Linked DNA regions of Mytilus edulis. The protein of the gene in region 2 purifies or fractionates together with the protein of the main gene of each other region. This does not show direct contact. Links are inferred from orthologs where the notes say so. Each region holds a gene or a part of one and is shown on either strand. Other genes may lie near its edges. The genes, in order: ras GTPase-activating protein-binding protein 2-like and protein lingerer-like.

Region 1 (16,379 bases), on a different chromosome or scaffold from region 2:
AGATTTAAAACTATCAAATTCGTTTAATAATTAGTAAGGAAATCCTTTTCGGATGATCAGTTTGATCACCAATATGTGTAATCAGTAACAAAGATAATTATGACAGAATAGTTTCCCCAAACGTACAAGCCAGTGCTTTGTTTCGTCATTGCAAACAAATAAGAAGAAGTATTGACCCACAGGCAATTGTCTCAGAATATAATTGTAGCAAAGACCCAAGCTTACTATCATGTGCTTGACAGTTGCATACCACACTATATATATGACAATTATATTTGTTGATGGGAGACATACATGTCATACATTAAGTTCTTTAAAAAACATATCAGAGGACACACGTTAGTATGTAATTCCAGTACACAAAAAGCAAACATTTGTCGAAGAACTTAATCATGCATGACCTTTAAAATATATACACATTCGATGTATTATAGATATGAGGTTTATCAATAATTTGAGTCAGATGTTATTAAAGGCATTTGAACTTTTGACACAGATATATGTCTCGCCGTTATGTTTATTTGGTAGTATATTGCAAAAGCTGAAATTAAAATTGGCAATACGTTAACATATGAACTATACAGAACATTCAAAGTCAATAAACTATGATTAGACCAAATTGGAAGATGTTTATGCTATATATTGTTTCACAAAATGAAGAGGTTTTTTTTCATTCGTCTTTTTTAAATGTTCTAAAACATATTAGTAAAGTTTTCTTTTTGGTGAGAATTGTCATTCTAGTTGGAAGAACATAGACGCGGGAACACTGCTATTGAAATAAAAAAAAAACTAAAAAAAAACGAAGACAAAGACAAAGACAAACAAACAACCGATATGCCACCAAAACATTGCACACGAAAGGAGTAGGTCCGGTCCGGTCCGGTAAGGGCCGATTTTGGCCTCAAATTTCAGGTTCATCTAACGAAAGTTTTTGGACACTTTTTAAAAACTTAAGTGTCTATTTCAATTGATTCGAATAGTGTTGTTGAAAGATTTTAATTGATTTGGTCATTAAAACGCTCTGATTCAAGCTTAAATCTGAAAAATCTATCAAATATGCCAAAAAACGTCACTTTTCAGATGGTATTTGTCAAAAATGAAAGTGGCCGCATCCGTGTTCATCCTCAACCTTTATATATGTTTTGTATTATCATCAAATACAACTTAAACATTTCAATATTATGAATGAACACGAATGCGGCCACTTTCATTTTAGACGGAAACCGTCTAAAAATTAACCAAAATGCTAAAAAATTTAAGATTTCAGTAATTTAGCATGACTTAATGATGCAAGAACGCGATAGTTTTGCATTGTTTTGTCAAAAACAGCTCATATTTATGTAGCAGAAGCAGTTTACTTTCCAAAATATAGCTTAAAGATTACATTTTCACAATTTTCTAAAACGGCTATATTTTTGGGCCAAAAGGGGTCTTACTGAACCTACTCCTTTGAATATTCAGTAACATAACACATCATGGCCAAAGTGCTCTGAAAACTCGTGTTCTTTCATGGAATGGTATTATTACTCATGACATGCAAACTTTCAAATGCAGAAGGAACATACGTGTATGACATTGGGAGTTGTTTCATTGAGCATTGTGCATGCAGACCCAGCGATCATAAGGTTGGATGCAATATATAAACGTATATTTTTGAATACCGATTGTAGTACGCAAGTCATGCGTTTTTTTTTAATAATGTTAGTAAGGTAAATACTCTCGTTAAATAGACATATATTTAGTAAGATTACGGATTTTAACTTAATTCCTAATGCAAGGTGAACAACCATATATTGGTTTCAGTTATATTTGTATGTCCCAAGTATCGGCATTATTTTTCCTGGTCTGTGTGTCCGTTCGTTCGTCTTCTTCCGTCTGTTCGTTCGTCTGTTCGTTCGTTTGTTCGTTCGTTCAGTCTCTGTTCGTTCGCCTGTTCGTCCATCCGTTCGTTCGTTCGTCTGTCTCGCTTCACGTGAAAAGTGGTTGAGGTAGTTTTTGAATGATGAAGTTGAAGTCCAATCAACTTGAAACTTAGTACACATGTTCCCTATGATACGATCTTTCAATTTTGAGGCCAAATTAGAGTTTTATCCCATTTTCACGGTCCACTGAACATAGAAAATGATAGTGCGGATATCCGTGTGCTATGGACACATTCTTGTTTGAGATATTTTGGGAGCTTTAAGCAGCCTATTCTGGGTTCTTATCCCATGTAGATAATTCAATATACCCGGCGTTTCCTTTTGATATCAAACTTGAAGTATTTTATGGGTTTTATTCCCATAGAGAGAAAATAACCTGAGATTACTTGTATCATTCAAATCATACCATAAACGAAGCACCGAGTGACAAGTAAGTGGATTGGACTAGGATCCTGGGGTTCGACGCGGAAATTTGTGTTTTAAAGAACATTTTTAACTACCGGCATCCATTATGAAAATCATTGCCAGTGATCCGCGTCTGTGCATGGGTTGTTCATACTCTTATATTATGGGTCCGAGGCTGATTGTTAACCAGCAGCAAAACCACCCCATAATGATTATTTTTTATGGGGTTCAATTCAACTGTCGCTTAGGGAAATCCTTTTCTATTTTTTGTTTGTTTTGTTTTAATTTTAATGTTCTTTGATATCATAACTTTGTTTTTTAACTTATTTATACGTTTTTGTTCTTATTCATACAATGTTAAAATAACATTTTAATATGATGTGCTTCTTTCGCTTTGTGTCTACGTGCCTTCCCATGTTAAAACTACAATTAAGTATATATATATAATATATAGCTTGCATCAGTTATTTCTTAATTAGTTCATATATGCTTCCCCTTTTATTTAGATTTTCCACGCCTGACGGGTAGGAAATATATATATCGTAAAAAATACGTAGAAACTGTTCTTTCTTAAACTTTCCGATGCCAACAAAAGTTGATGTGAGGCTGGCTTTTCAAAAGCATTATCCATCAAAATAATTCAGTGCAATCGAAAATACCTTAGTGTTTCGTGAACTAGCGGTTATTTGTCTTTTCGTCGTTTTTCGTATTCATGATTGCCGTAGTTGTTCGGTATTTTGTATAAATGATTGCCGTAGTTGTTCGGTTTTTTTTTGTATAAATGATTGCCGTAGTTGTTCGGTTTTTTGTATAAATGATTACTGTAGTTGTTCGTTTTTTTGTATAAATGATTGCCGTAGTTGTTCGGTTTTTCGTATTCATGATTGCCGTAGTTGTTCTGTTTTGCGTTGACTTATGATATTTCACAGTTCCTTTAGTGGCTTTTATCTCTTTGTTTGCTGATTACCACTTGCATATATGCTCGACTCTAGTTTAATGCAGATTATGCATATGAAGACATAATGATGCAGATTATGGAAATGAAGAAATGTTTAGCAAGAATCAGGTAACTTTTAACATAGGGTTGATTTGTTGTTCCGTTTTTGGAAATAGCCAGGCCCGAATTCAGACGCGCCTCCTCCCTCTTTCCCCGAATAAATGTCATTTAAATGTACCAAATAATAAACATGTTTTTCTCTTCAAAATATAGTCCAACAACTCATAATTCTTAAGAGCGCCCCCTAACATCAAATTCTAGGTCCGCGCCTGGTAACAATACCACCGTGTAGAACGCCAAATGCGGGGTGTTGGCTATGTTTGACACGGGGTGGCAATTTCGAAGCGAAGAAAAACTATCAAAGTTCAAGGCCCACGCGACATTATATCAGAAAACGGGAGCGATGAGAGATCGGTTTTTAATTAGATTGATCACAAGCAGAATTACCTAGAGTTGTCAACTTGAAAAAAATCCAGTTACGTATACCATACTCATATCAGAGACCTACATCTCGGTCTTGGGTACCATGATAGAACTATACATATGCATGTGTCTGTTTGTGACAGAAAGGAGAGACATGCTGGTCACTGTTGTTCTGAAGTCGACTTTGTATTGGTAACATTTAAAGACGGGTCCGCAGATTGCCTGTTGCGAGGGTAAACCATATCAAATACGCTCGTTTTGCACAATCAATATAAATTGCCCACCCTTCGTCTTGGTCGACCTCATATATCTGAACTACTTATCATAAAATTAATAATAAATTCTTTATTTTCAGAGGGTTAACATTACAAATTTTTACATGTGGCTTCTACATTTACATATAAAAAACACAGTTTTAAAAAGATAATAATGCATAAACATTCAAAAGGTAATAAATTAGCAAAAACATACTTGCACACTTGATAAAGGAGCCCAAAAACCAAAAACCAAAATCTAATACATAGATGGATTCAGCTTTTCAAAGAACCTCATAAAATCATAAAATCATTTTAAAATCGCGATGACATTATCGAATGCAAAATAGCATTCCTTATTGCTTGTTATAAATTCAATTCTTCAATGAATTCTCATAAAAATATTTCTTTTAGACTGTGACATAAATTAATAATATGAAAATGTTCTGTCGTTCGAAATATATATATCAGTAGAAATTCATTAATATCTATGCACACGTACAGAAAAATTTGTTAACCATGCGGAATAATATCTCAAGAACGTTTTGGGGGAAATATGAATGCCTACTCAAATCCCGCGATCTATTTAAAATAAAGAATTATTACAGAAGAGTGGCACCATTCACTTGCACTGCACAATCATTAGAATAGTAGAAAAGAATGATATACAAATGGATGAAAATTATATATTCATGTTTTACTGTTATACTAGTATACAAATATTAATATAATATATAACAACAAACCAGAGTATACTTATTTGTATCGCTACAACTTTAATAGTTATAACGGTGAGATTGAATTCTCTGTCATTTATTCATCATCAATGCACGCACGAACTTGTCTCAGATTTTTAAAAAAATTTATTATACCTCACTTTCAGGTATACAGATGTGATTTTTTTTTTAGACAAGTGTGACCATCAACAAGAACTTGCAGTCATCCGATGTTCAGTATTTCAGTACTTTCATTAATCTTTCTTCTAATGACTCTGTTAGAGCAGTTTGCGTAAGGAGCTCACTCCTTCATGCGCGAGCATAACGTACCATACGACGGAGCAGAGGACTAAACAATATATAGAGAATATATGTTATTTTTGCCCGAGTGATTTAGATCTTTTATTTAATTCATGATATATTTTTTTTTCACTGACCCCATCACTCATAATATTTGATTTAAGTGGATTTTTTTTTTATCTTACATTGATCTTTTGATGTCATCCTTTAATCAACTCATTGCCGTTTCATCTGAAACTGTGAACATATATTTGTTCCGCATAATACTTGTTCCCCCTGGAACAAAACTATGGATAACAAAAGTTACATAATATTAATTCCACCTTCATAAGATATTTTCCTGGAACTAAAATATCATATGGTTTCATAATATTTGTTCCTCTAAAAAAGAGTGTCATTTGATTTTTATGCCCCACCTACGATAGTAGAGGGGCATTATGTTTTTTGGTCTGTGCGTCCGTTCGTCCGTCCGTCCGTCCGTCTGTTCGTCCGTCTTTCCCGCTTCAGGTTAAAGTTTTTGGTCAAGGTAGTTTTTGATGAAGTTGAAGTCCAATCGACTTCAAACTTAGTACACATGTTCCCTATGATATGACCTTTTTAATTTTAATGCCAAATTAGAGTTTTTACTCCAATTTCACTGAACATGGAAAATGATAGTGCGAGTGGGGCATTCGTGTACTGAGGACACATTCTTGTTTACACCTGATTAGATCTGAATTAACCGGCTTGGAATCTGAACTTAATTGATCTATGTTTATATTAGTTGTACTTGCATCATTCCTTTTAATAATATCTATAGATATTGTAATAATAGTTAAATTTAAAATTTATTTCTTGTCCTGCACATGTATAATGGGGGGGGGGGGGGGGGGGGGGGGGGGGGAGGGGTCCCGATCCCGAAATCCTGGGTTTAAAACACAAAATCCCGAGGACCCTAATTCAAATAATTCAAGTTAATCCCGACATCCCGAAATTCGAAAAAAAAATAATCCCGGATTCCGAAAGGGTCAATCCCGAAATTCCGAGCTTAAAAATACCCGATCCCGTAGTCCCGATAAAAGTCATATCCCGGTCCCCTCTCTAAGAGTAAATCATTGATATTTGACAGATATTAAATACAAATATTTTATTAGCACAAACTCATCAACAATAAATGGTTAAGGCTCATGGTATATCAATTACATAGTTGGTCAAACATAATAAGTATTACAAATAATGAGTATATTAATATGTAATATTATAAACAATGATTATGAATTAGACATTTTGACAATTTTATGGAGTTTGTTCTGCTTTACGCAGGTTCAAACTGTCTGAAATGAAAGAGGACGTCAATTTTAGGATTGTGTATGAATTATTATTTAATAAAAAGATTATATTATTTTCATGTTTTTTTAATTTTGTAGAATCAACGATTATATTTGAAACTTTTGATAAAATATGGCCCTTTTAGTTGAGTATTTTTCACAATGTAAAAGAAAATGGTTTTCATTTTCAATTTGACCAGAGTTACATACAGAGCAGTATCTCTCATTTCTGGGAATATTTAAATGTCTCCCTCTTTCAATCATCAGCATATGAGCGCTTATACGGATCTTACATATTGCAGCTCTGTCACTTCTGATTTTCAATATATCAACATAGGGTGGTCTTCTGTCCATTATGTAGACACTCTTGAAAAAGTCTAACTTTTTTTATTCAAATATATTTGCATTTTGAACTTGCAAACATTGGTCATTAATTCTTTGTTTAATAGAAGTTAAATTACCTTTAACATAATTAAAGTTATTGGTGATATAAGACATTCCAAGTCCATTCAAAAGACTCTTGACCTTTATGACCCAAGGGTTTGAATCTACAGATTTAGTGAATATATCATATGCCAAAGAATTTTCCGAAGAAATTATATGGTTCAGGTAGTTGAATATTGAATATAATATTTTATTATTCAAGGGAATTCTATTAAGTTCGGCTCGACATCCATCATTAGATGCCTTACAGTGAACCCCTAATATGTCTTTGATAAATTTAACATGAAGTTTTTCAAAGGGATCAGAGTCTTTAAAATGTGAATCCATCCCCCAAATTTCACTACAATATGTAAGAATGGGAGTAACTAAACAATCAAACAATTTTTCAAGAAGTCTACATGGGTTGTTGAGACCTATAGTTTTCTTTATCTTATAATATGCCTTCCTGGCTTTTTCCATGAGAGTATTCACAGCAAGGCAAAAATTGCCATTATACTTTAAAACAATAACCAAGTAACAATAATTTGTTACCGTTTCAAGATATGCATTATCATAAGTAAAATGGTTTAACAATGTTTTGCCATTAGAATTAAATATCATAATTTTTTATTTATCAGTATTAACTTGTAGTTTCCATGACGAACAATATTCATGTAAAATATCAAGAGATTTTTGTAGACCCTCTTCGCTTTCAGATAGTAAAACAATATCATCTGCATATAAAAGAATGTTCAAAGAGGTATCTCCAATGGCAACTGGATCCGTATGTTTGTTATCAAGATTACCTACTAGTTCATTTATAAAATAGTTAAAAAGAAGGGGACTCAATACGTCACCTTGTTTAACATCCCTTTCTGGTAGGAATGGAGGACTGAAACCATTAGGGAATTTTATTCTACATACTGTATCAGTATACATTGAATAAATAACATTAAACATTTTTTGGGGGATATTATGTTTTATGAGTTTAGAAAATAAACCTAGTCCATAGGCGGATCCAGGGGGCCCGGGCCCCCCCTTTCGTGGGAAAAATTTGGTTGATTATATAGGGAATCATTGAAGCATGACTGGAGCGGGCCCCCTCTTAGGTCAGTCAGCGGCCCCCCCCCCCCCTTTAGGAAAAGTTCTGGATCCGCCACTGTTAAGTCGCCATACAGTATCAAATGCCCTTTTTAAGTCTATGAAGGCAGCAACAAAAAATTTCCAAGTTTTTTTGTCTATATTGATCAGTTATGGTCTTAAGAGTGAATATGTGGTCAGCTGTACGACTTTTCTCTTTAAAACCTATTTGATTTTTACTTATTAAATTTTTGATATCCATAAATGTTACTAAACGTTTACATGGTTTATATAAAACTTTATTAAAAAGTTTACCCAGGTTGGAACTAATAGATATACCTCTATAGTTCCCTGATCAAATTTGTCCCCTTTCTTATGCAAGAGAACAAGACTAGTAAGCTTTCATTCCATAATCTCGGAAGTTGACCAGATTCGAATATGCTATTAAAGAGTTTATGAAGTGGTTTTATTTAAAAAAATAGGGATTGCATTTTTCAACATTTCATTGGAAATCATGTCGGCTGATATGCTTTTGCCATTTTTTTTCAAACGAATAGCTGTTACTATCTCTTCAATTGTTATCTCTGAACTCAAGTGAGTTAAGTCATCCGTAACATGTGATAAATTAAACTGTTCTTTTAGAGAGTCAAAATCTTTAATAATTTTAGAGTGAAAACTATTGTGATTTATGTCACAGCTATTCAATTTTGTTATAAAACTGGATGAAATCTTCTTGTGGTACAGATTCATTTTCTTTGTTATTACTTTTTTGTCTACTTAATTTATTCAAAATGTTCCAAAACATCTTTTCAAGAGACATACAAAATATGTCTCTGATATTTGTCACGGTACCAAAAAGTGAAATAACAAAAATAACCTAACTGCAGAAATTTAAAAAAACCAGACAGTTCTTTGATCCTTATAACAAAACCAGAAGAGTTACTATCATATATCCTGATTCAGGACTATGTAAACCGTTTTTTAAATCTGATTTTGTTTTTTATGTGCCCATTCCGATCCTTATTAGCAGAGAAACAAAGAAATGCATTCTCATTGAAGGTTAAAGGTAAGACTTCGGTGGTCGTTTTTGAGTTATTAGAAGTGGACTACTCTTATTTAAAAGAAATTTTACGTTTAAAATGACAAAAACATTGTATGTTCTTTGAAGAAATTGAAATTTTGACCACAGTAATTCCGATTTGGGGGATACAATTTGGCACACAGGGTGTCCCCGTTATGTGCGCAAATTTTGACAAAATTAGGACTCACTGCGCACACTGCATGTGCAATTCTTCGTAGTTTTTACGGACGTCAAATCCAATATTTTATCATTTTAAGATTCATATATTTAGTATTCTAATGTATTTGTAAATATTTTATTCACATATCACCAAAAATTCACCATTCGTGAGGTAAGTTTACATCAAAAAATTGATATTTTACAGTGAAATTATGAACCGGTATTTTTCCTCGTGTGTTCAGACATGGCTTCCGTGATTATTTTCACTTTCTGATATACATTTTGTAAGCGTTTGAATGTTTAACCTTTTTGTGAAAATTATCCTTGATCCTTTGACATAACTTATGAAACACTTTATTGTCAGATTTGGAGAAATTCTTGTACAGAATTTTGAGGTTTATTGCCATGAAACAAATTATTTTGTAGTGTTGCCATGAAACTATTTTAGTAAAGGTATATCATTATATCTAAAGAATATTTTCATACTGACTGAAATTGATTAATAAAGTCTTCTCTTGTTTTGTTAAAAGTTAATCTTGAAATTAATTTTCAGATTTAGTAACTTTTATTTTGTTGGATAGTTTACTTTCACATAATTTGGTGCATTTTCTAGAACATTCTGATGTCAATAACAGAAAATATAAGGAAAAAAAGCGTTTGTTCCGGGATAAGTTAGTAACCGAAATGTAGGGATTGTCACTTCCAACATATATCGAGGGATGAGGCAAATAAATGTTGATCTTATAGTTATAATTTATACTGCACAAAATATTTTCGAAATTTAACAAGTTGGTCACCTTCCCAAAGTTGTACGGAAATGAAAATCCTGTACTTACAGAACATCAATTATTAACAGACTACCCTGCAGAATGGCGATTCCGAAAGTGCTTGAACTTTTAATTAGGCAGGGATACAATTGTGCCTTCTAAGTTCTATCTGGCAAATGACATCATAAAGGCTTAAGAAATTGATGATCTTTTCTGGTAGAAAGACATTCGAGGAAGTGGCATATTGTTCAGTGATGTCTTGTAAACTAATGATGAATTCACTGGGTTCAACAGGCATAACCAATTATGATTTTTTTAATTTAAATATGGTTTAATCATGTGCTTCTTATTCTGCCTTCATGTTCGCAACTTTTAAAAAAGTGTCTGTTTTTATTTAATATATTCCTCTGTTTGTGCTTAATTTCCTACAACAGGTTATTATTCTTTGTATAATCACCAAACATGGGGTTTGTTCCCATCTTTAAACAGACATGACTCGTATTATAAAATAATTGAAATGGTCTGTTCTTGTGCTGTATAAATGAAATTTTTTATTTAAATTTATATCAATTTTATTTCTTATACATGTAGCATAGATTTTTTTTTCTATGATTGCTCTGATAAGTTTTGTGTGCCAGCATTTAATTTTTCTCCATAAATATTTTGAGTGAAAACTGATAGAACAAACAGTATTGTCACCATGATGGGAGAGTAGTGGACAGAACAGGATTACATTATTGTATTTAGAGATTACAAGGATGAATGAACAAATGTAGGGGTATTCATTAACAAAACATATCATCATGCCAACAACAAAAATAACCAAAAAGACTTCACCAGTTGTCCTGGTATTAAAACCTCCTTGACTCCTAAGTGAGCCCATGATTCACCTGTTCACAGTTCAAGTTCATAGAAAGAACACAAATATTTGACACATTAAAGTTATAGAAGTACAGCAACATTTAAAATTTATTCTTTGATAACATTTTCTAAATATTATTGTACATGTAGTAATTTTAAGCTGCAGTAGGTAAATTGTGTAAGGTTATGTCAGATAATTAAAATGAAAAAGACCTGAAATAATGAAAAAATTCTCTTAATTTTATAAATTGTATTTTTCAGATTACTTAATAATACAAAGTCATGGTTATGGAAACCCCAAGTCCACAGTGCGTTGGCCGTGAATTCGTTAGGCAATACTATACCTTGCTAAACGAGGCCCCACTGCATCTTCACAGGTAAATATCCAAGTGCAGATCTAACAATTCGGCTTTTGTAGACCACAATGTCCTTAATAAAAAAAAACAACATCAATTCCAATGAAAATGCATATGACCTGTCACCAAGAAAAGAGGATTACAGACAAATTTCCGTTGGTGAACAAATTTCTACCATGCCATACGAAAGATTGTTTTGATCCATTTGTAAAAAAAATGGCATGTAATTTTTTCAGGTTCTACATCATTTCAGATGTCAATTCTCAAAAGAAATAACCAGTCTTTGAAAACTTAGTTGTGTCTGACAAATCACTTGATTTTTATTAATATGCAAACAAAGCAGACATTCTGAGCATGTTAATACACTGCAGTTGTCAAGGTTGGATCATTATCAGTTGACTTAGGCTGATCAAAAGGAATTTACAAGTATGGTCATGATCACCAAATTTCTTCAAAGAGATCAGACAAACAGTACACCTGGAAAGGTTCAAGGCATGGCTTGACCCAGATTTATAACTGGTATTAGTGTTTCCTGCAGCTTTTAAAAAGGGCAGGGTAATTGTTAGCTCAGAGGGCACATTAAGCGCGATAGACAATAACTTTAGGGCACTTACTTAACATAAACAGGCAATTTCTATAAAATGGATTCATTTAAAAAATACTAGTTTAATGACCTCTTAATAGTTATTGTTCAAAATATATACATGTAACAGACTTCTTTCTGGGTCTATCATATTCTTGATGTGGGACCACATTGAAAAAAAATGTTGGTTTGCCAAAGCCAGAGTTCCATAAAAAAAGATCAGGGTGATAGGTTTTTTTTTTTTTTAAATATGAATGGACTATTTAAAATGATTAACTTAAAGAATTTGTCTGGTCATTTTTAGTAACCAAAATTTAGTAAATTACAAAAAAAAATAACTTTACAAATTAACCCCTTCCCCTCTACACCCTTTTCCAAATTAAATTAATATAGATACACCAAGTTTATTACTTTCATGGCACTACCATATCAGCTGTTTATTTTAAATGTCTATAAATAGCCAGAAATAGTTGTCTGTTACTTAGGTGTTTTCCCCAAGTATTTTTCCCGCCTAAAATGATCATGTGACATGTTTGTAAACAAAAGACAACATTTCATCAAGGAATTCATTTATTTTCTGGATTATTCTGCTTTTAATAATTTAGTTTGGATTTTTATTCATTTCATTTAAGGTACAGTCAAGCATTTGTATTTAAAAATAGTTTGCAATGAATTTTTACTTTTCACTTTGACAAATGTCTCATGATCGCCGTTCATTGGCTTGTTCAACCATGCAAACAATGTATATTATGTAAATTAGAAATCTATCAGCTGTCAAAAATATTGATCTAAGCAATCGATGTTTTGAAATCGTTTTCCGGTTTAGTCTTGTCAAAACAATGTCATATCATTAATCTTCTAGGCAAAACGGTGTTTCTGGGACTTGGGGGATACAATCAGGACGCGTGATTAGTATCTGTATTCACTATTCAGTCTATTGCAGTTTGCTAATCAGCTGATTACGAAATCGATTACAAAATGGCGTCCTAGTGAACTTTTGTTTACGTTTGAAGGGAAATAACTCGAGCGGTATTCATAAAATATGTCTTTCAGTACCGTAAAGGCATGGCGTCAGGAATTTCGACAAAACTAGGGCAGGGCGCCAAATTTTTTCCCCAAAAAGGGCAGGGCGTCGAGAAATCGCGGCAGGGCGCCATTACACGCCAAAACCACCTGTAGGAAACACTAGGTATTGTCTTCACTCTTGTCTTGACAGAGTCACATAGCAAGACATAGATACAATGTATGTTTTTTTCTGGTGGTCGCATGATCAATGTATTTGTTTGTGATTAGGTTTAGTTAATAGTGAACCACTAAGAAATTGTAGGTCAATGATGTGTGGTATGAGTTGTATTAGCATAAGCACATCTCATTTCCATAGAGATTTTTGGCCCCATCCCCTCAGTCATGGTCTAATAACTGAAACTTTTGCTTGGTTTACATGTTTTAGTTTGTTATTATAACCCCACTTTAAAAAAATGAGGTATACTGTTTTACCTCTTGTCTGTCCATCCATCTGTCAGTCCGTCAGTCCCATGAATATATTCGTCATATTTTTCTCAGGAACTACTTATCTCATTACAGATTCATCTCTTATCAACTTCCTGTTTACCGAACACTAGTATCATTTTACACATGATAGTACAATGTAGCCAAGTTGAAATTTTTGTCACATATTTCTCAGGAACAACTTTACTAGGAGTTCTGAAATTTGGTTTCAGGGTTTATATATAAGTCAGCTCTACCATGATGGATTTTGAGATTTATCACCTTGACAACTTCTTGTTTACCGACATTTTTTCGGCGAGGGTTTCATCAGTGAGCAGTTGCTGGCAGTTTTACTTGCTAGGTCAATTTAAGGGTAATCATAAGTGGAAGACCAATGATAATGGTATGCAGTTGTGTAAGCATCAGTACATCTCACTTCAAATAGCTGGTCCTTTCCCATCAGTCATATGTCTATTGACTTTAAAACTTTTGATTAGTTTGTGATAGCTCAGTTTAAGATGAACCACTAAAAGTCTATTGATAATTCAACGAAATTTCACAATTTGATTTACAAGTCTCATTTCCATGGAGATTATACAGCCCCAACCCCTCATCTTGGCTCATTGAATTTGACATTTTTACAGAACTTACCAGTTAATGTTTGTGTAACGGTTTGTTTAAAGGGAGCAACTTATGATCAGTCAATGGTGTTTGGTTTGCAGTTGTATTAGCATTCGCACACCTCATTTCAATGGAGATTGTTTAGTGATGTACCTTTAGTCATGGTTTATTGACTTGAATATTTTATCATGGCATACATGTTGAAGTATTACTATTTTAATTTCAACATTTGCACTATTAAAATAGGCAAAATATATCTCTGGCTTAACAGTTTATATGCATTGTATGTTTCAGAAAATTGTTATTTTATTTAAATTCCAAGAATTTTACTTCATTTACTTATTTTTGAATTATTACAGATTCTACAGTCACAATTCTAGTTTTGTTCATGGAGGTGTTGAAAAACCAGGAGAAGAACAACCACCTGTCATGGGACAAGCTGTAAGTTATATCTGTATGATTATTGATGTTAAACTGATGTTGCGTGGACAATGATTTGTTGGATCTATTTGAGTATTTGAAGAGTTTTTGTATAACATACAGTAAATTGTCAATAGAATTAATTTTTTTCACAAATCAACATTATTAGCCTTTGTATGCTGATCCCCTTATGAGGCAGGTGCTACCATTAACAAAGTGTGTGTATAACCATTTAACAATATTATTGTTTGAAATTAACAATCAAGTACTGCATGCCTGCATTCAATCTGCTCCAATATTATATAGAATTGTGAACAAACAGTGTTCTAGCTAGAAAGTATTAACAGGGCCCTTTTTTGTTGACGCCCTTGCCTTTTTTCTATTGTTTCTCTGGCGCCCTGCCGTTTTTATGACGAAAACCTTGGCATTTCTGCCTTTGAAAAACCGGAAAATTTGTAATACATTCATGAACAGAAAGTTCACCTAGCTGTGTAAACTGTCCAATTAAGTGACTCATTAAGTGCATGGCTTCACTTGTCAGCTTTGGTGTCAAATACATTGTTTATTAACACCAATTACCTTAGCTTTAGGTCATAAATAATTTGTTTCATCTCAAAAATGTTTGAAAAAAAAAATAATAGTTTCTTCCCCTTTTTTGTCACCATTCACAATATTCTTCTTAAGTTTATGTTCTTTTTCACAAAAAGATTAAATTTATAACAAATTGATTGCAAATGTATTTTAAAAATAAAACTTCCAATTAAATTCACCTGAAAACATCTAAGAAAGAATGTGCATATATGTAGATAATAGCCTGAGATTAATTACTAAGTTAAACATGGAAGATTGTGTCATTAATTGAAATTTATTACTTAATTTTTACTGAAAATTGATAATACCATATAGTGCCTAAGTTATATGCTAATTAATTATAACTCTTAAATAATTGCCCTTTTTCAATGACATGTACACGTTAAATTGGCCTTTTTCTGACTAGCACCCTGCCCTTTTCAAATTCTGGCTAGAACACTGACAAAGGATGACACTCCAAATTTAAAATTTTGCCTTAATGCATATTATTCAGCTTAATTGTATTTGAAAGAAATCCTTAACTTTTAATGCCCACGTGCACTTTGATTACTTTACAGAGTTGATAGTTGATATTGAGCTGAAAATCCCTTTAAATACTTGAAAACAGGGTTGGCAAAGTATTACCCGCCCGGGAATTCCCGAGTGGGAAAACCCGGCTTTTCCCGGGCTGAACAATACTCTAAGAAATGGAAAATCCTGGGCAATACTGGGCAATATGATTTTTATGCCCCACCTACGATAGTAGAGGGGCATTATGTTTTCTGGTCTGTGCGTCCGTTCGTTCGTCCGTCTGTCCCGCTTCAGGTTAAAGTTTTTGGTCGAGGTAGTTTTTGATGAAGTTGAAGTCCAATCGACTTCAAACTTGGTACACATGTTCCCTATGATATGATCTTTATAATTTTAATGCCAAATTAGAGATTTTACCCCAATTTCACGGTCCACTGAACATAGAAAATGATAGTGCGAGTGGGGCATTCGTGTACTGAGGACACATTCTTGTTTAAGCTTATTTTAACACGAAATAGTTCAGTCTTGGTGTAGTTTCATAGTATTACAGCTAAATATATACTTTTTATACAGATAACCATTGACAGTCATTTCTAAAAGAATGAAAAATTTAATTTCATTCCCTTCTATATAGACGAAATACAAGATTTGCACATTTAAGGAAACCTTGTTAATTACCAAGCATTGTTTCAATATTAATCCATACTTTGAAAGAAAAAAAAATATTGCAATGTTTTAGTGAATTGTTCATTTCAAATGTTATACATTCATATTGCTAAATAAACACCCTAAGAGGTCATGCCATTAACAAATATAGAATTGAAAGGGCTGATTATTGTTACATAAACAAATCTGCATTCTAATCTGAATAATTATTTACTAATTAGTGACAGTACATAGACATTATGTAAATATAATTTTTCTTACATGTAATTGTTAATCCTTAATAGGAGTTATTGTTATTTACAGTTTTACCAATCCAAACAAACAAAAAAGGTTATATATGTCTTGAATGTATAACATTTGTGTTTTATCACTGAATACTATATAATATTCAGACCAGTATTTTATATTACCCAGTATTGCCCAGTATTACCCATTAAAACCCAGTAAAACCC
Region 2 (16,118 bases):
AAGTTTGGTAATTAAAAATGTTGAGCACTCAATTAACTAAACTAGCATGTACAAATGTACATCTTACTAGCTATCATGGCTACATGTGTATACATGTAGCAAGTCTGTAGAACACAGTTGTACACAAGAGCAATCTGGACTACAATGAACATTTTTATATGTTGTAGCAATAATTGTTGTGATTTTTTTGGCACAAAATAAAATAATAAAAACATGTACATTTTTGTACATTAACAATCAGTATTTTCTTCATTTTCAGCATACGTACAGGAAATAGGAAGAGCAGGTAGAGATGGCTTGTCAGCAAATGCAACTCTATTTTATAACATGACTGACATTTCAAGTTCTATAAAAGGGATGACAGATGAAATGAAAAATTTCTGCACATTGGAAACTTGCAGAAGAGACTTCTTATGCCAGCATTTTGGATCTCCTTGTGGGATGTCTGTTTTTGAATTCAAACACGAGTGTTGTGACAATTGCCAAAAACTTTGCAAATGTGAAGACTGTACTGACAAATTAATATTAGCATGTGATGAAACGGACCTAAGCAACATTAACAAAAACAAGCTTTCTCCAAGCATAAAAGAACAGTTGGAGATGGTATTGCTGGAATATTTCAATGCTGAAAATGAAATTATAGCTATGCCTAATTCCGAGTTGATAACTGGACTTTCTGATTCATTTGCGAAGGAAATATGTCAAGAACACATACTTTATTCTGATAAGGAACAGATTTTATGTAGGCATACAACTTTGTCGCCTCATGTTGTTGAAAACATTGTTTTAATTGTCAGTGAATTATGTTTGAAGTAAGTCAGTCCTTTGCTTGTTAAAATTTATGTTATTTAATGCGATATGATTATTTCTGCCAAAATATCAAATTATATTTTGTACATAAAAAATTTGTACAGTTAAAATCTGAATTTTCTTAATCTTAATTATGGCCAAAATGAACATGACAAAAGGATAATTATTCTTAAGAATACACACATACAATGTGCATGATGTGCGGGACATAAAATGTAGATAGCTATATATAGGTAAACTATAAATAAAGGTAGTAATTATTTTATAATGGATAGCTTAACTAGCAATATCACTTAACATACTGACATTAAATGGAGAATGGAAATGGGGAATGTAAGAGACAACAACCTGACCATAGAAAAAAACAACAGCAGAAGGTCACCAACAGGTCTTCAATGTAACAAGAAATTCCCGCACCTGAAGGCGTCCTTCAGCTGGCCCCTAAAAAAATATATATACTACATTGTAGTTCAGTGATAATGAAGTCCATACTAATTTCCAAATTTCCAAATTGTTCCCATTCCAAATTATGGCAAATACATGTAAATACAGAAACACATACATGTACATGTGTAAGGTAAATGTACAAGTGATGTGGGGCATGCATAATTGAGACAGTAATCCAACATCACAAATATGTATGGAAGCTAATTTTTACAAAACATTGAAAGATTTTGTCTTAAACAAAAAAAGGTAATTAAATATCAATTAAAAAATATTTCTATGTAACAGCAGTATATGTATATATATATATATACATGTACTAGTATATTAAAATTCAAACAATGACTAGGTTTGTGACTTAGGACGGGCACATATTTTGTTTTGTAAAAATATGACCATAACAAAATTAATGTATACATAATATAACAATGCACTAAACGAACAAAAGATAATCATGTACATTAGGCCAAATAAAAAAATATTTGTGTTTCCTATCTCCCTTCCTACCCTATATCTAAAGCTTAGATATTGTCTATATTTACCTTAAAGTTTTTTTGTCATTTTTAAATAAGCTCTAGTACAGTTAAAAGTCAGAATTTCTCTCCAATTGACTCAATGTAAAAAATTGTAAAATAAAATCAAATACCTTCCTACCCAGTGGTTGAAACCCACCTTTTTTTTGGGACAATCAATGAATTTGAATGGGGACAAATAGTTGAAATCCCCCCTTTGTCCTGCATGTCCTGGGTTGGGACCCCCCCCCCCCCCCCCTTTTTCAAAGATTTAATAAGGAACACACAAATTATTTTATTCGGCCTTAATACATACAGTTCTTCATACAAATATGTCTTTAATAATCAATGAATGTGTTTTAATTCATGCTTATTGCATTAATATATATATTATGTGTACATGTATATAGATAAAAGCCATAATTTTAAAGGGTAAATTAATAAATATAATAGCTGAATTTGTTCACTGAGTACATGTACAGGTACACTTTAACACTTCATACTCCTATCTCAGTTGCAAATTTAACTTTCTGGTTTAATATCCAATGATGGTACAAGTTAGAGTTCAGCTGTTTTGAAATGGTGTTGGCAACTTTGGGAAAGGCTTCATGAATTCTTCCTGCTTGGAACTGGAAAGGACTTAGTTGTCTCAAGTCATTTATTATGTCTGTTTCATCTTTTTTTGAATCTGCATCACTGTGTTTTTTTGCACGGACCAAAACATTAGTACATTTATCAAAGTTTTCTGCAATGTCATTTAAAGCTGGTAAAGCACTTGTTCTTACACTTATATTTTTATCTGTCTTATTTGAAAACATGTGCTTGATGTTTTTCTTGATTTGCTTTACCAAAAATTCCATCCGTAGATCACACGGTATATGGCGGTCTAATCCACCCTTGGTGTTTACAAACAATCCATAGAACTCCTCATGGGCCTCTTTCTCAGACAAAATGGATTTCTGGTGAACCAAGAACCTCATGATCTCATATGCATATTTAGACAACCAGTTGTTGGCCTTAAAATGGACCATTGCCAACTTCAAAAGTCTTAGGCCTCTTTCTCTACTAGGAGTCTTACATAAATCTAACAATGATTTGAATAAAAGTCCAAGTTCAAGGACTAGATGCCCATAGTTCTTAACATCATCTTCTTTGACGACTTTTTTTACCTTTTTTAATGTTATTGTTTTTGTGGCTCCATTTGCTAAGGGAACAGTCATCACAAATCCATCCACTGAAAAGTAAAGATCTGAATTAGAAGTAGTAACCATAAAATGTAAAATGCACAGTACAAGATTAAACATTTATTATTTATATTGGCTTTGAAAAGAGAAACACAAGTGTCATGAGCGTCTGGACAGGGTTTAAAACCATAAATAACTTGAGACAAATGAGCAAACAAAAAAACTGACAATATAAATGATGAATAACTATAAAAAAGTAAAGACTTAGTAAATAAAATTCTGATTTCAAATTAATATTATTTTTAATACTTGTATATATATTATACATATATATTAAAAGGAGAACAATGTACATTTTGTACATGTTTGTGGTAATATAGATATAGGAAGATGTGGTGTGAGTGCCAATGAGACAACTCTCCATCCAAATAACAATTTAAAAAAAAGTAAACCATTATAGGTTAAAGTACGGCCTTCAACATGAAGCCTTGGCTCACATCGAACAACAAACTATAAAGCGTCCCCAAATTACTAGTTTAAAACCATTCAAACGAGAAAACCAATGGTATATAATACAATATAATTGCCAATTAGACAACTATCCACCAAAGTTCAAATGAAATGGATGTAAGCAATTACAGGCAACTGTACAACTTCAACCATGAGAAAAACTCATACTTTACATGTAATAGGCTACCAAATAAAATTTTCAAAATAAGAAACAATTCAATTTAGAAAACTTGACCAAATTGTTTTAGTCAAATTGGGATTTTTTATTTTCCCCTGAGTATCCTACTGACCTAGTTGGATCAGAATATATTTTTATAAAGCTTAATAAGGAATAAAATGCTTCAAAATCCAAATTAAATGGTTTTAAGTAAGTTTGTATAAAATTTATTACCTTCCAAGCTATTTGTCTCTGAGACTGCAGAAGTACGGCCCACATATAAATCCACTATTGAGATAAGATGTTTCTTTACCCAATCTGATGCCTCGGCTGAGTTGCTAAATGGTGGTGGCATATTTTTCTTTGGAACAGATGAAGCATTATCCATACCAAAATAGTCCAGAACTGCTTCAACTATATAGGCATCAACAAACGAGGTTACAAAGTCTTTGTCAGCATCATAATATTCGTTAACATTCTCATTGACTTTTGTTCTAAGTATTCTATTCTGCTCACACTTCATTGTCCCCAAATCTTTTTCACTATCATTTCTGTACAATTGTTTGAACATGAGTGTGACGTAGTTCATCATCATGTGAAACAATTCAAATGTAATGGGCGAAAGATGCTCAAATCTCTCTTCCTTTGTTACTCCCCCTGCTCTCAGTCTTTTTCCACCTGAAAAGCGCTCCCTGCAAGTAAATTAAAAAATTGACATGTTGCTTTTCATTCACAATTTATGTAAATGGGTACGTTCAATGTTCTTCAGGTATATCAAACAAACATCAAAATAATGACTATTTAATATCCAATGAAAAAAGTCAGATAATATTTAGGATGAATGAATGCTTATAACAAAGAGAATCACAACTAGTAATAACATGAGAACTCTTATTTTTATTATTATTATTTGCTGATGGTTGATTTAATATTTGAAAACCATAACATATTTGGGATTTGACAATTATCAATGAATATATACATGGCCATCAAAGTTCAAATGTTAACAATGTAAGCAATTTCATGCAAGCATATGACCTTCAACAATGAAAAAAACACAATACAATATAGCCGGGAATACGTGAATACCAGGCCCTGACCTTTACCAATTGTTCTATAAGACAGATTTGTTGAGTTGTTTGAGATGCTAGCTTACATTTTTTGTGCATTAATTAGGCCTTTACTTTTCTAATTTGAATTAGTATACATTTGTCATTTATTTTATTTTTTTAGCCGACTACAATGTATGAAGTATGGGCTTTGGTCATTGTTGAACGGTACAGCGACCTTAAGCTATTAATTGTCTCATTGGCAATCACACTAAATCTTTTTTAAAATCTCCAAATTTTTCAGACTTATTTTGAGTCAACCAGTCTTTACTGTCTAAACAAAAACCATCCAAAATTTATAAAATGTCGTAAACAATTGCTTACCTTGTTAGCTGATCCCCACCAGTATGTACTTTTGGCTTCTGGACACCTGCTGCTTTGTAGGTATCATCCACAAATTTTTCGTAGAAGTCCATTATTTGTACAACATCATCATATTTTTGTTCATTACAATGTAATACTGGCAGTGGAACTACTTTATTTGGTGCTCTTAGCTGTTCAGAATACGGACCTTTAATGAACTTTGGGAGATGATCCTTCACAAAAGCCAGTGATGGAATATGCCTTGCAACAACTCTACTTATTAGTATGGCATAATCAAACCGTACACCGTCCCATTCATCTGTTGAAAGCAAAAAATCCTGGAAATTTAACTGGGTGTATGGTCGTTGTGGTGAAATGTTACTCAAATGGCTGAAATCAGTGTTTTGAATAATGACTGCTGAGCCAAAGGCATGGTTCATGTGTTCATGTCTATCTCTTCTTTCGTCATGAACACCCGTTTTCCAATTTATATTGTCTCCAACTAAGCGAATTCTTTTACCTTGCTTAATGGCATCAATGACTGAGGTGTTGAAGTTACCACCAAAGATGTCCATTATGCTGAGGGAATGACAATAACTTAAGCAAAGTCCTAATGGCTGTAACCTATCAAATACCTGAAATATATACATGAACATAACCTTGAGTCAGCTACATTAAGTACTTATATAAACCTATCTTTTAAATTCATGCATTCCACCTTGAGGTTGAATTATATATAAAATGCTGTAACAATTACTGCGTGTAAATATGATTAAATTTGGGGAAAAAATAATAATAAATTTTAAAATGGTACACTAGTTTATATTTTTTTTAACATTATTTCAGGTTCATCTGTATGTAAATAAAGTCAACAGATATAAAGTGTCTATGCATCAAACATATATATATAGATTCATGTAGATTCACTAAGGGTATTTTTATTTTAAACACTTGTAAACATGAATAAAAGTTTCGAGTTACAAATAGGTACATTTGGTCAAAATAGTGATTTTTACACAGTATAATCTAATCAATAATTAAAAGATCTGGAGTTGTACTTCATTGAGACCATTACCAAACGACAAAATTTAATTGATTTAATTATTAAACTTAGCCTACCTCTGGCATATAATTTACCTGCATGTGGCATGAAGATACATGTACATGTATGCATTTTATAAGGGACGACATCAAAAGATCGATGTAGGATAAAAAACTTAAATCAAATAGTTTTGGGGGGGGGGGGGGTTGTAAAACTCTGCAAGTTTTGTATATTTAAAATCGATTTTTACATATATCGATCCTTATTGGTAAATCAAATTAAGTTAAGAAGTAGGGGGGGGGTCAGTGAAAAAACTATGTGAATTAAGTTTTTTATCCTACATTGATCTTTTGATGTCGTCCCTAAGTACAATTTTTCAAAATACTAAGGATTTTCTTCTCCAAGGCATAGATTACCGAAGCCGTATTTGGCACAATCTTTTGGAATTTTGGGTCCTCATATGCTTTTCAACTTTGATCTGAGCGTCACTGATGAGTCTAATGTAGACACAAATAATGATGTAACAATTTATATATTTATAATGATTTACCTTTTGATCACATATGGAATCAAACAGTAGCATACTGATACACCTTTGCACTCTACTTAGCTCTGCATTTCTAGTTTGGGCCACTATAGCATAAACCTGCAAGAATAATAAACCTCTATTGTTTATCAAGAAAAATAAATTGCATTTTGAAGGTTTGTAAATGTATTAGGTTGTTTTTTATAATAATAAGCTTAAGTTCACTTTTTTTGTAAAATCATTACCAGTGAAACAAAGTTTAACATCTAGGTATTTTTCCTTTAGAAATATATTTATATCATTGTTCTGACTAAATACTTGGCAGAGGAAGCTTACATTTTTTTGTACTACCAGTACCACCATTTCAACTTTAATGTCACTTGTAGCTGTTTATAGCATGTTTTGTTTTAGATTAGGGAGCTACCATTTGATTTTTATGGGGGGGGCTAGGATGAAATTTGAAAAAAATAGGCAGGACAGGAGTTTTGAGTAAAAAAAAAAGGCAGGATGAGACACTTTGCAAAAAAAAAAGGCAGGATGACAATTTAGGTAAAAAAAGTCAGGATAAACTAATAAAAAAAAAGGCAGGACCGAATAGAGTGAAAAATAAAAAGGCAGGACAGAGATTACAACTAAAAAAAAATGCAGGACACAATTTTTCATCCTAGCCCCCCCATAAAAATCAAATGGTAGCTCCCTTAATGTACAATAAAAAAAAATCCTGGTTTTCAGTACTATAAGGTTTAAAGTGTTTAAAAAGACATATAATTTATTGTGTATAAAATGTGTTTGTAAACAAAATGTACATCTATCTAATCTATATATATATATGCATAGTTGTTGAATTGCAAATATTGCAATATATATTTTAATATACATGCAAGTTATAAGATTTAATCAAAAACACACTTTTAATTCATTTGTCTGTTATGACTATGTAAGTGTAGTATTGTACCTTATTATGATTATTTCAGCTTTATATTGTTATGTAAGTGTCATGTAACAAATACTGATTAAACTCATGCTTAACAGATAGATAAATAAAGTGCAGATAATGTTCAATACAATGATAATTAAATTAAAGTCAACATGATAATTATATGTCTCTTAAAATCTTACTGATGATAAAAACTTAAAAGAAGCCATCTGGACATGATTTCAAGATCAAAATGATTTATTGTCTCATGCTGAGACATTATCATCAATATACATGTACATAATACTTGTAAAATTTGGTCATAATAAATTTGAAAAATAGATTGAAAATTATATACACATGTTGATAATGGTAAAGAAATCCAAATAATCCTGTAATATTCAAATAGACAAAAACATCTTATAATTAAATGCCTAAGGAAAAAGAAAATAAATTTTCTTATTTTTTTTGTTTGGTTCTTTTATTTATAATCTTTTATATTCCCTTATCTATATTCATTTTTCTATACAGTTACTGAGTTAGGGTTGTGATTGAGCACACTACAATGTACCTTTTTTAATTTAAAAAAAATATTCAGCTTTTTGAAACATTTTATTTAAATTGTTTAGTTTCAACTAGCATATCGTCTCATTTATTTGTGTACCTCATACATGTACATGTATATTTGTAGGTTGAATAAAGTCCTTAAGCTTAAGTTAAGGTGTATATAAATCACAACATACCGTGCCTATTCTTGGTAAAACCGAAGCCAGTCTTTCATTTCTTTTGGCCTCACTTAAACTATTTGGTAAGATGACTGCAAGAAGTATTTCTGCTAATAGCGGAAGCTCCTCTGTTAATTCTTGTACAATTACTTCCCAACTAAATGATTGTAGATGTTTGTAATCTTTCTGCATTAGCTGACTGATTTTTCCATGCTTTCTTGAACGCAAAACAACATTGTCCTGTGACAGTTCAGCAAACAACAAATCCTTTACTGTCTTTTTCAATGCCGGTATGTCAAGAATCGATTTTGCAAGTTCTTTCCTGGAACGAAGAGGCAGTGAAGATTGAATTAACGCACACTCTGAATTGGTCAAAAGATCTGATTCTGGACCTTTCATACTTTTCACTACGGTCTCCAGTACTTTTGGTACATCAAACAATTTCTTTGCAGCTTTCTTCTTTGGTGATTGTTGGTGTTTTTGCTGTTTGCAATAACTATGGTCAATATTTTCACAACTGTCACTTGAGGTTTGCGCAGGTGTTTGAATGGGAGTTCTAAAACTAACTGTGCATTGTGACTTGAAAGAGCTGTATCCATCATCAACAGTCTTATTCTGTTCCTTTGGTGTAATAGGTTCATATTTTTGCTTCAAAAGTGGTGTTGAAGAAAAAATAGGTGATATACCAGAAAAATTAATTCATTCTGAAAGTTTCTTTCTTTGAATGGAGTTGTCACGGCGACTGCTTCAAATAACTGAATACATGAACCCCGTTTTGCAGTTGGTAAGTTTTCATCGTTCTCTTGCTCCTTAATACATCTTTTCCCACTTAACAAATGAATATTTAGATTACACTGTTTCCTAAATTCAATGTTAGACTTGTCTAAACTCACCAATCTTCTTTCACAATTCCGACAGATAAAGCCTTCTATCACATCAATATCACCGTATTTCTTTAGTAAAGCTGACACATTTTTCTGTTTTCCGGCTTCAGAATTAATAAGTCTCCAGTTTTTATCAGCTACGTTTTGTGTTTTGCAAACTACACATATTCGTTTAAGTGATTTCCTTGGGGTTGTCATATGTGACATGGAAATTTACTGTCATCTGCTTGGAGAACCCCGGATGTGTAATAAACAAATCCCATGATGCACTAGTCTCGCTAAGAAATAAAATCCCGTAGCCAGAATTCTGACCACGGGATTTAGGCCATACCTGTTGTCAGTGTAGCGATAAGTGAACACAACAGGGGTCCAGTTTAAGAAAAAACATGCTCGCACTTGCTCCGGAGTTATGTGCCCTTAATCGAGAATGTTCGTTCGTTTCCGTACGACTGACCGGAAATAATTGGGAATTCCGTGTTCGCTTACATTTTGAAAGCGTTGACATCTACAAAATGTATTTAATCGGCTTTCAAAAGAGTGTTTTGATCATATACAATGATTATGTGACAAAAATCTCAACATATAATGTAATACAGAGCGGGGAATCCCTAGATGACGTATGCACGGAAATTTTATATATGGCGGCGCGAATTCTATTTAAGTCACGTGATCAAATGATATTGTGAGACCATTTCCAGGTAAAATTGGGGCTCCCGATAAAAACTGACCCTTTATTCGTTTCTTTGACAACTAAGAACAAATATCAATTCCCATGACATTGTATCGCTAAGTCTTTTATTCTACAGAATGACATTTGTTCGATTTTTCATTGTCTAATTTATTTTGCGTGTGCGAATGACGAAGGAAATCCAGCATGGCGTCACATGGTTTCCTCTTTGGTTACTAATCAAATCTACTGGTAATTCATTTATTTACCGAACATGAAATCTCTGGATCAGTGAATGAGAATTGCCCCTTCAGATTCTGTTATGCTTATTGAAAATATATATGAATTTTGATTTAAATGACATTGAAAATACTTCCCGTTTCGGATGTCAACACGAACTGAATATTTGTACGCGACCAGACGATCTATTCAGAGACTTAGGGTTAAAGACTTGTTGCATATGAAACTGTTGAATGTGAAATTAAGATACATAAGATGTCAAAGATAAAGCATTTATTAACTGTTGACTTTAATTTGTGTCTAACTTTTGGATATATATATTATTTTGTTAAATGCCTCATTTATTTGGAATTCCCAGATTACCATTTCACTCTGAACAATGCATCATTTACATACATGGTAGTTGCTGTGTTTTAAAGCTATCATGGTCATTAACAATTTAATTGTTTGTCTGAAAATCATGCTGTATTCTGTAAAGTAGCGTCCGGTTTTTATCTGTCAATCTTAAATTGTTTACAGATAATTTATTATGTATATGTATGTATTTCACCCTAATAAACACGACAAACAAACAAAAACATTTTATCTTATAACAATACAAACAAAACTATTTCATAATTAAAATGTTACATTCTGATAAGTTGAATAATCATAATATTAAAATATTGTTAATGGTTGTACTTGTACAACTATAGTCGCCATCAAATTCAAATAATTATGACATCTTGAAAGGCTATTATACTTTTTGCATTGACGTCTTACAGCATCATCACAAAGCTCAAGCCATCTCTTTTGGTTAGTTATGAGAGGGAATTTTGCTCAACTTTGAGACCCAATTTAGCCCCAAAAAATCATTGAAGACAGGCGTGTAGCTCCATATACGCCAACACTCACATGCATGCACATCGGCATGCTAAACACAAAAAAAATATTTACGATTTTCAGCATTCTATGTTTAAAAAGAGTTAATATAACGACATATATTTCTATTTAATTAATCGAGTTTTCTTAGCCTAACCTATTTGTCATCACTGAATGACATTTGTTCGTCCAACCGTCTGTGAACTTTAAAACGTTTTATTATTTTTTTATGATGTCCATTTTTCTTAATGGTATTTTTCTTATTATGCCCCTGCCAAATGGCAACAAGTTCTTTAGGCTGTATACCCATTTACGTCGGTGCAATTATTCGAAATTGTTTTTTCTCTCTCTTACTTTGTTTTGCCTCAACCAAATGTTGTAAAACTTATACACAATGCTACGTTCTATAAAACATTGATCAAGTTGGATTTGAAGCCAGATCCAATGTATGGTTTCCAAGTTAGGCCGGCAGGTACAAAATGTATGTCCTAGCTACATGTATATAGTCCTTCTTTTATTTGTTATCTTACTTTGGTTTCATGTATCACAAAAAATGTATGATTCACATCAATCGTAAGGTTGTCCAATCATATGCCAACTTCCCTGTGTGAGACACTTGATGCAGTAAGCCTAATGCTGTATCCTTCTGTAGATCCTTTTTGAGTCTTATGTTGGTAGTGCCAGTAACATGTGTTATGATAGATCTTTCAGTATAGTACTTCGGTTGAGAACATGTATGACCAACCATGAATAACGATAGGTCATCATCACTAGCATTAATGCATATTTATCAGGATTTCAGTGTGAATATGGACATATTGTTAATTGTTATTTGGATGGAGAGTTGTCTCATTGGCACTCATACCACATCTTCCTATACATTGTATCTATACCGTCGTGTCATATGTTTTCAATGTCATATGTTTTTGTATCATCCATATTTCATCTGTTTTGATTTCACACCAGTATATTGTTGCGGTTTTTCAGTTTCTATATTTGGAACAACAACAACACTACAACTTGACATCTTTAAAACATATTCAAAGTCGTTTTTAAAGACGCTCAAACAAATTTAATAAAACTGACCAGATTAGCCATTTTTATTTAATGCCCAAAATATGCCTCACTATAATAGTTGTTGAGCAATATTCTGAGGAGTTAACTGAAGTATAGCTATATTGTCTGCCTGCTCGACATGGGATCTTCAAGACATGTGACTGTCGTGTGGTTTTTTGGTCATTTCTAGTACAAACGAGTGCGTGAAAATTATCATGGTTCTTATATAAAATGGCTGTTCAAAATCCATTTATTCAATATTTTATTGACAATTCTTTTCATAGATCCTTTATACACAGAGATGAAAACAGTCTTAACTTTTTACATTTAAACCCTAAATTTTAAAAACTGCATTTTGTTTTCCAAAAAAAATAATGTCCTTTACTATTTATTTCTAGTACTGAAAAGTATTGAATAACCTTTATTATCATTCAAGCGATCACCAGAACCATGACTATAAATTCATTTCCTGCCCGTGAACTGATCCAATTTTTAATACATGCGAAAATATATGACGCCATTTTTTTTACATACAAATATCGCAAAGTAATCGGAAATGGTTAAAAATCGTAGAAGCCTCGACAAAAAACTAGATACCTAAAATCATTTGATAGGACATGCTTTTCAAATTTGAGTAAACACCTGAATAAAAACGCAACATTGAAAATTGTTATTAGTACGAAAACACATCACATGATGATATAGTTATGGAAAAGTTTGTTTCTGCTAAGACCTGAAATGCAGATTTTAAACAATTTTGAGTAAATTCTGTCTCACAAATATGTGTTGTTTAAGATTATGTACCATGATTTACTGTATTTATAAGAATTCTGAATATTATAGTTTTGCATTAGTGAATTATATTAACGTCCTATGAGCACAACCTTCCTATTATGGAAAACCACCAAAAAAAAAAAATCTTCATAAAGTGGTCCCAAATTTTTTTTTTAGTTTAGATTGAAGTCTTGTCATCATAGGGCAGAAGAAATTTTTCAAGATATTACATTTGTCCAATTTTAGGAATTTTCCAAGTTTTTCTATGGGACAATTACATTTTTTGTATCACAATTATAAGCCATATAGGTTAGTTAATAAAGGTCTATCTTTATCAGTGTTCCCGCCTGCCCTAAATAGAAGGGCGCCCCGCCCTTGGTGCCCTTACCCCCGCCCTTCTGCCCTCCAAAGCCAAAGAATGCCCCCCTCTGCCTTTTCAAAAGATACATTTTACAAATTTCATGCCTTCTGGCGTTTCCGGTAAAATTGTTACCTGAGTGATTGTGTAACACTAATTAACTGACAATAGGATTAAGTTAAATACCTAATGCCTTTGGCAGTTTTATCACCTCTGCTAATGATTGTTCACTGCTAATTAGTGGATTTAAGATAATTGAACAAATACTAGATATTTAATACAGAATGAAAATGCTGACATGTTAGCCATTTGTAATGTTTACGTATCATAGCATATGTACACATAAAAAAAAATATTTTTAAAGAAAATTTAAAACAATTTAAAAGGCAGATTAAGTTTTGAGTAAATTGGTAGATTGGTAAAAACGTTTTGTTTTTATAACCATGAGTATGAAATTAAAAGAATAACCAAAGAAATTTGTATTTGAACATAACAAGATTGCACCACTTCCTGTTTTATTTCTTGTATTATAATCCTCCTTACATAGGAGCACTTAACAAATGCTTTTATTTTTTAACCATAATGGAGTTTATACCTTCTGTAATATATGCAATGTATTATTGCATCATTATAATATAATCATCTCTTGTATCACCTGTTATATTTATAAAACTCCCTACTTAGGAGCACTTTGGTGTGCACTTCTTAATACTTTTTTGTAACAATTTACAAGTTAGGTAACTTTCAATAACACAAATACTATATGTCTAAACAAGTAGTTTTAATGTAAATAATTTAATTACATAACAAATTCAATTTTGTTTAGCTCCATCTTTCAGAACTACTTGTTTATTTTTATAGACTTGTATAATTAAGTTATATAAATTATAAAATAAAAAAAAAGATTTTTCTAAGGATTTTTTTCCTGATCAAAATGCACAGTTTGCATAAATTTACATCAATTAAAATGATATGCTTTGTGTCATGGTATGATAATTTGATAATAAAAAAATCTTACTGGAACCAACACTTGGAACACATTAATTTCTGAATAAGGTTAAAATACAAGTAATGTTCTGCAGCTGAGCCTAGCAATATATAATACATATATTCAAGGTTATTAATACACTGCCAAACAGTGCCCTTACAATTTGGGTTATTGCGCTAAAGTGCCCTTTCAGACAAGTAGCACCCTTCTGCCCTGAGATTCAAGCTGGAACACTGTTTATTCTTATGTTTCATACAACATACATGTATATGTTAACATTTTCAGGGTTTGGTTCTTTACAGAAAGCATCCCATCTTTTATTTATATTTATTTCTTTTCAGTATCTAAATTTGTATATAGTGTTGTGTAAATAAGTGTACAGGATGAGTGCTGCGGTGGCTTCATCGCGTGGGAACACAAGACCCATGAAAGAAAAACATGGAAAATCCACCCCACAGACACAAACAAAATCAGAAGGACCTCCTCAGAAAGTACAGGCAAGTGTTACCCTAGATAAGGATAAGGGTCAAATGAAAAAATGCATTTATTGTAGAATTTGTATTGTAGTACATTGTCAGAACAAAAAAATATAGTTCTTACAGTGAAATATAATGACATTTGTTAGAACGTCGAAAGATTTGGTTTCATAAATGCTCAAGTTTTAATTCGTTACCTCTAAAACAGTCTTAAAAACTTATGATTTAGTTCTTTTAGTCCTTTATCATTAAACTTTGCATTGTACACAACATTTTTTGATAATGCTTATATTTTGATAAAAATTTAGGCTACTCCAGAACAGATAAGGTTGGCACAGTTGACAAATGATGCAAATTCATTAGATGAATCGGCATTCAGACAGAAGGTGAAACAGGTATGTTTTATATCATTTGTTAACCATAGTTTCAAAAAGTTGTCTTTTTAAAGAATATATGACAAGTACTTTCAGAATATTGCAAAGGGACAAGAAAATAAAAATGATTGATATTAAAAGAAAGGAGATTTGGTATGATAACTATCCAGCAATATTCAAATGAAGTGGATGTAAGATATTAAAGACAGCTGTAAGGCTATCAATAATGAGAAAATCTTGTACCGATATGTTGGATTAATATTAGTTAAAGATTTCGAGTCTGACAATAATGTCTACATTTGAAAGGTTATCACTTCTTATAATCTTTGTAACCCAAATTTGAATTCTTTTTTCCTATCTTTATTTGTATAATATCCTCAAAAATATCTATCAATCTTTGATAAAAGTTCAAAGGTCAGTTTATTCCACTCAAAGCAAAAGATAGATGGAAAAAAGTCTTGTTTACATAAATTTGCATCTTTTAGATTAAACTTAGTAGTTTTCTGATATGATAGGTTGCCCCATTGATTGGTCTTGTTTTATAACATGCTGTGTGATTTATAAAGGAACCATAATAAAGTAATAATTTTCATCTGGTGGTGAACTGATCACAACTTTTTTGATGTGAAAGTGTGGATTTTGATATGTGTTCTCCATTTTACAGGTGATCGATGTAACAGGTATTACAGATCAAAACGAAGTAGAAATAGCTTTACAAGATTGTGGCAACGATACAGAGAGAGCCATAAATATGTTGTTAGAGGGCAACACAGTACAGGTAATTAACTCATTAGTATGCATTAACATTTGCAACTTTTAAGGACTGAAACACTGTCTGATGATAATATTTCATTTTCTGATTTCTTTAAATACTATGCAAGTATGTACATTTTGCTGAAATTTTTTGTCCTAGTTTTATATATTTTCGAAATAAAATTAGGAAAAGCTGGTGTTTTCTTTCCTGTAAATTCAGAAAATATTGAGAGGTTTTGGTTATTGCAAAAAAATACAACTCGGTAAGCATGGCAATATTTATTACTTGCATTCTGATATTTAATTCATACACCTGTTGCAGGTTGCTTCCATTTGTAGAAAACCAGGTGATAAAGAAAAGATAGCATTATACATAATAGATTTTAAGTTTGGGAACAATTATTTTGGATTTCATTTTCAGTTATCAATAAAGAAAAAAGACCTGATTG

Evidence for each region.
Region 1: the proteins of protein lingerer-like (region 2) and ras GTPase-activating protein-binding protein 2-like purify together in Drosophila melanogaster (affinity purification with western blotting; 3 studies listed by BioGRID, with this or other methods). This does not show direct contact. The link is inferred for Mytilus edulis from reciprocal best matches to the Drosophila melanogaster genes lig and rin.

Annotation. Positions count from the first base shown.
Region 1 is NC_092352.1:25,705,964-25,722,342, reverse strand, and holds the start of ras GTPase-activating protein-binding protein 2-like, read left to right. Parts: upstream 1-8,782; 5' UTR 8,783-8,893; intron 8,894-8,895; exon of another isoform or gene 8,896-9,239; intron 9,240-9,286; exon of another isoform or gene 9,287-9,351; intron 9,352-10,956; 5' UTR 10,957-10,977; coding exon 10,978-11,072; exon of another isoform or gene 11,073-11,570; intron 11,571-12,823; exon of another isoform or gene 12,824-14,019; coding exon of another isoform or gene 14,020-14,102; coding exon 14,103-14,184; intron 14,185-16,379.
Region 2 is NC_092347.1:61,472,914-61,489,031, reverse strand, and holds the start of protein lingerer-like, read left to right. Parts: upstream 1-9,720; 5' UTR 9,721-9,820; intron 9,821-14,407; 5' UTR 14,408-14,449; coding exon 14,450-14,563; intron 14,564-14,850; coding exon 14,851-14,937; intron 14,938-15,580; coding exon 15,581-15,694; intron 15,695-16,118. Other genes in the region: uncharacterized protein, read left to right, coding at 260-816; uncharacterized protein, read right to left, coding at 2,264-3,000, 3,852-4,309, 5,051-5,664, 6,622-6,717, 8,257-8,637. UniProt on the Drosophila melanogaster protein: Acts in the nervous system to mediate the control of copulatory organs during courtship.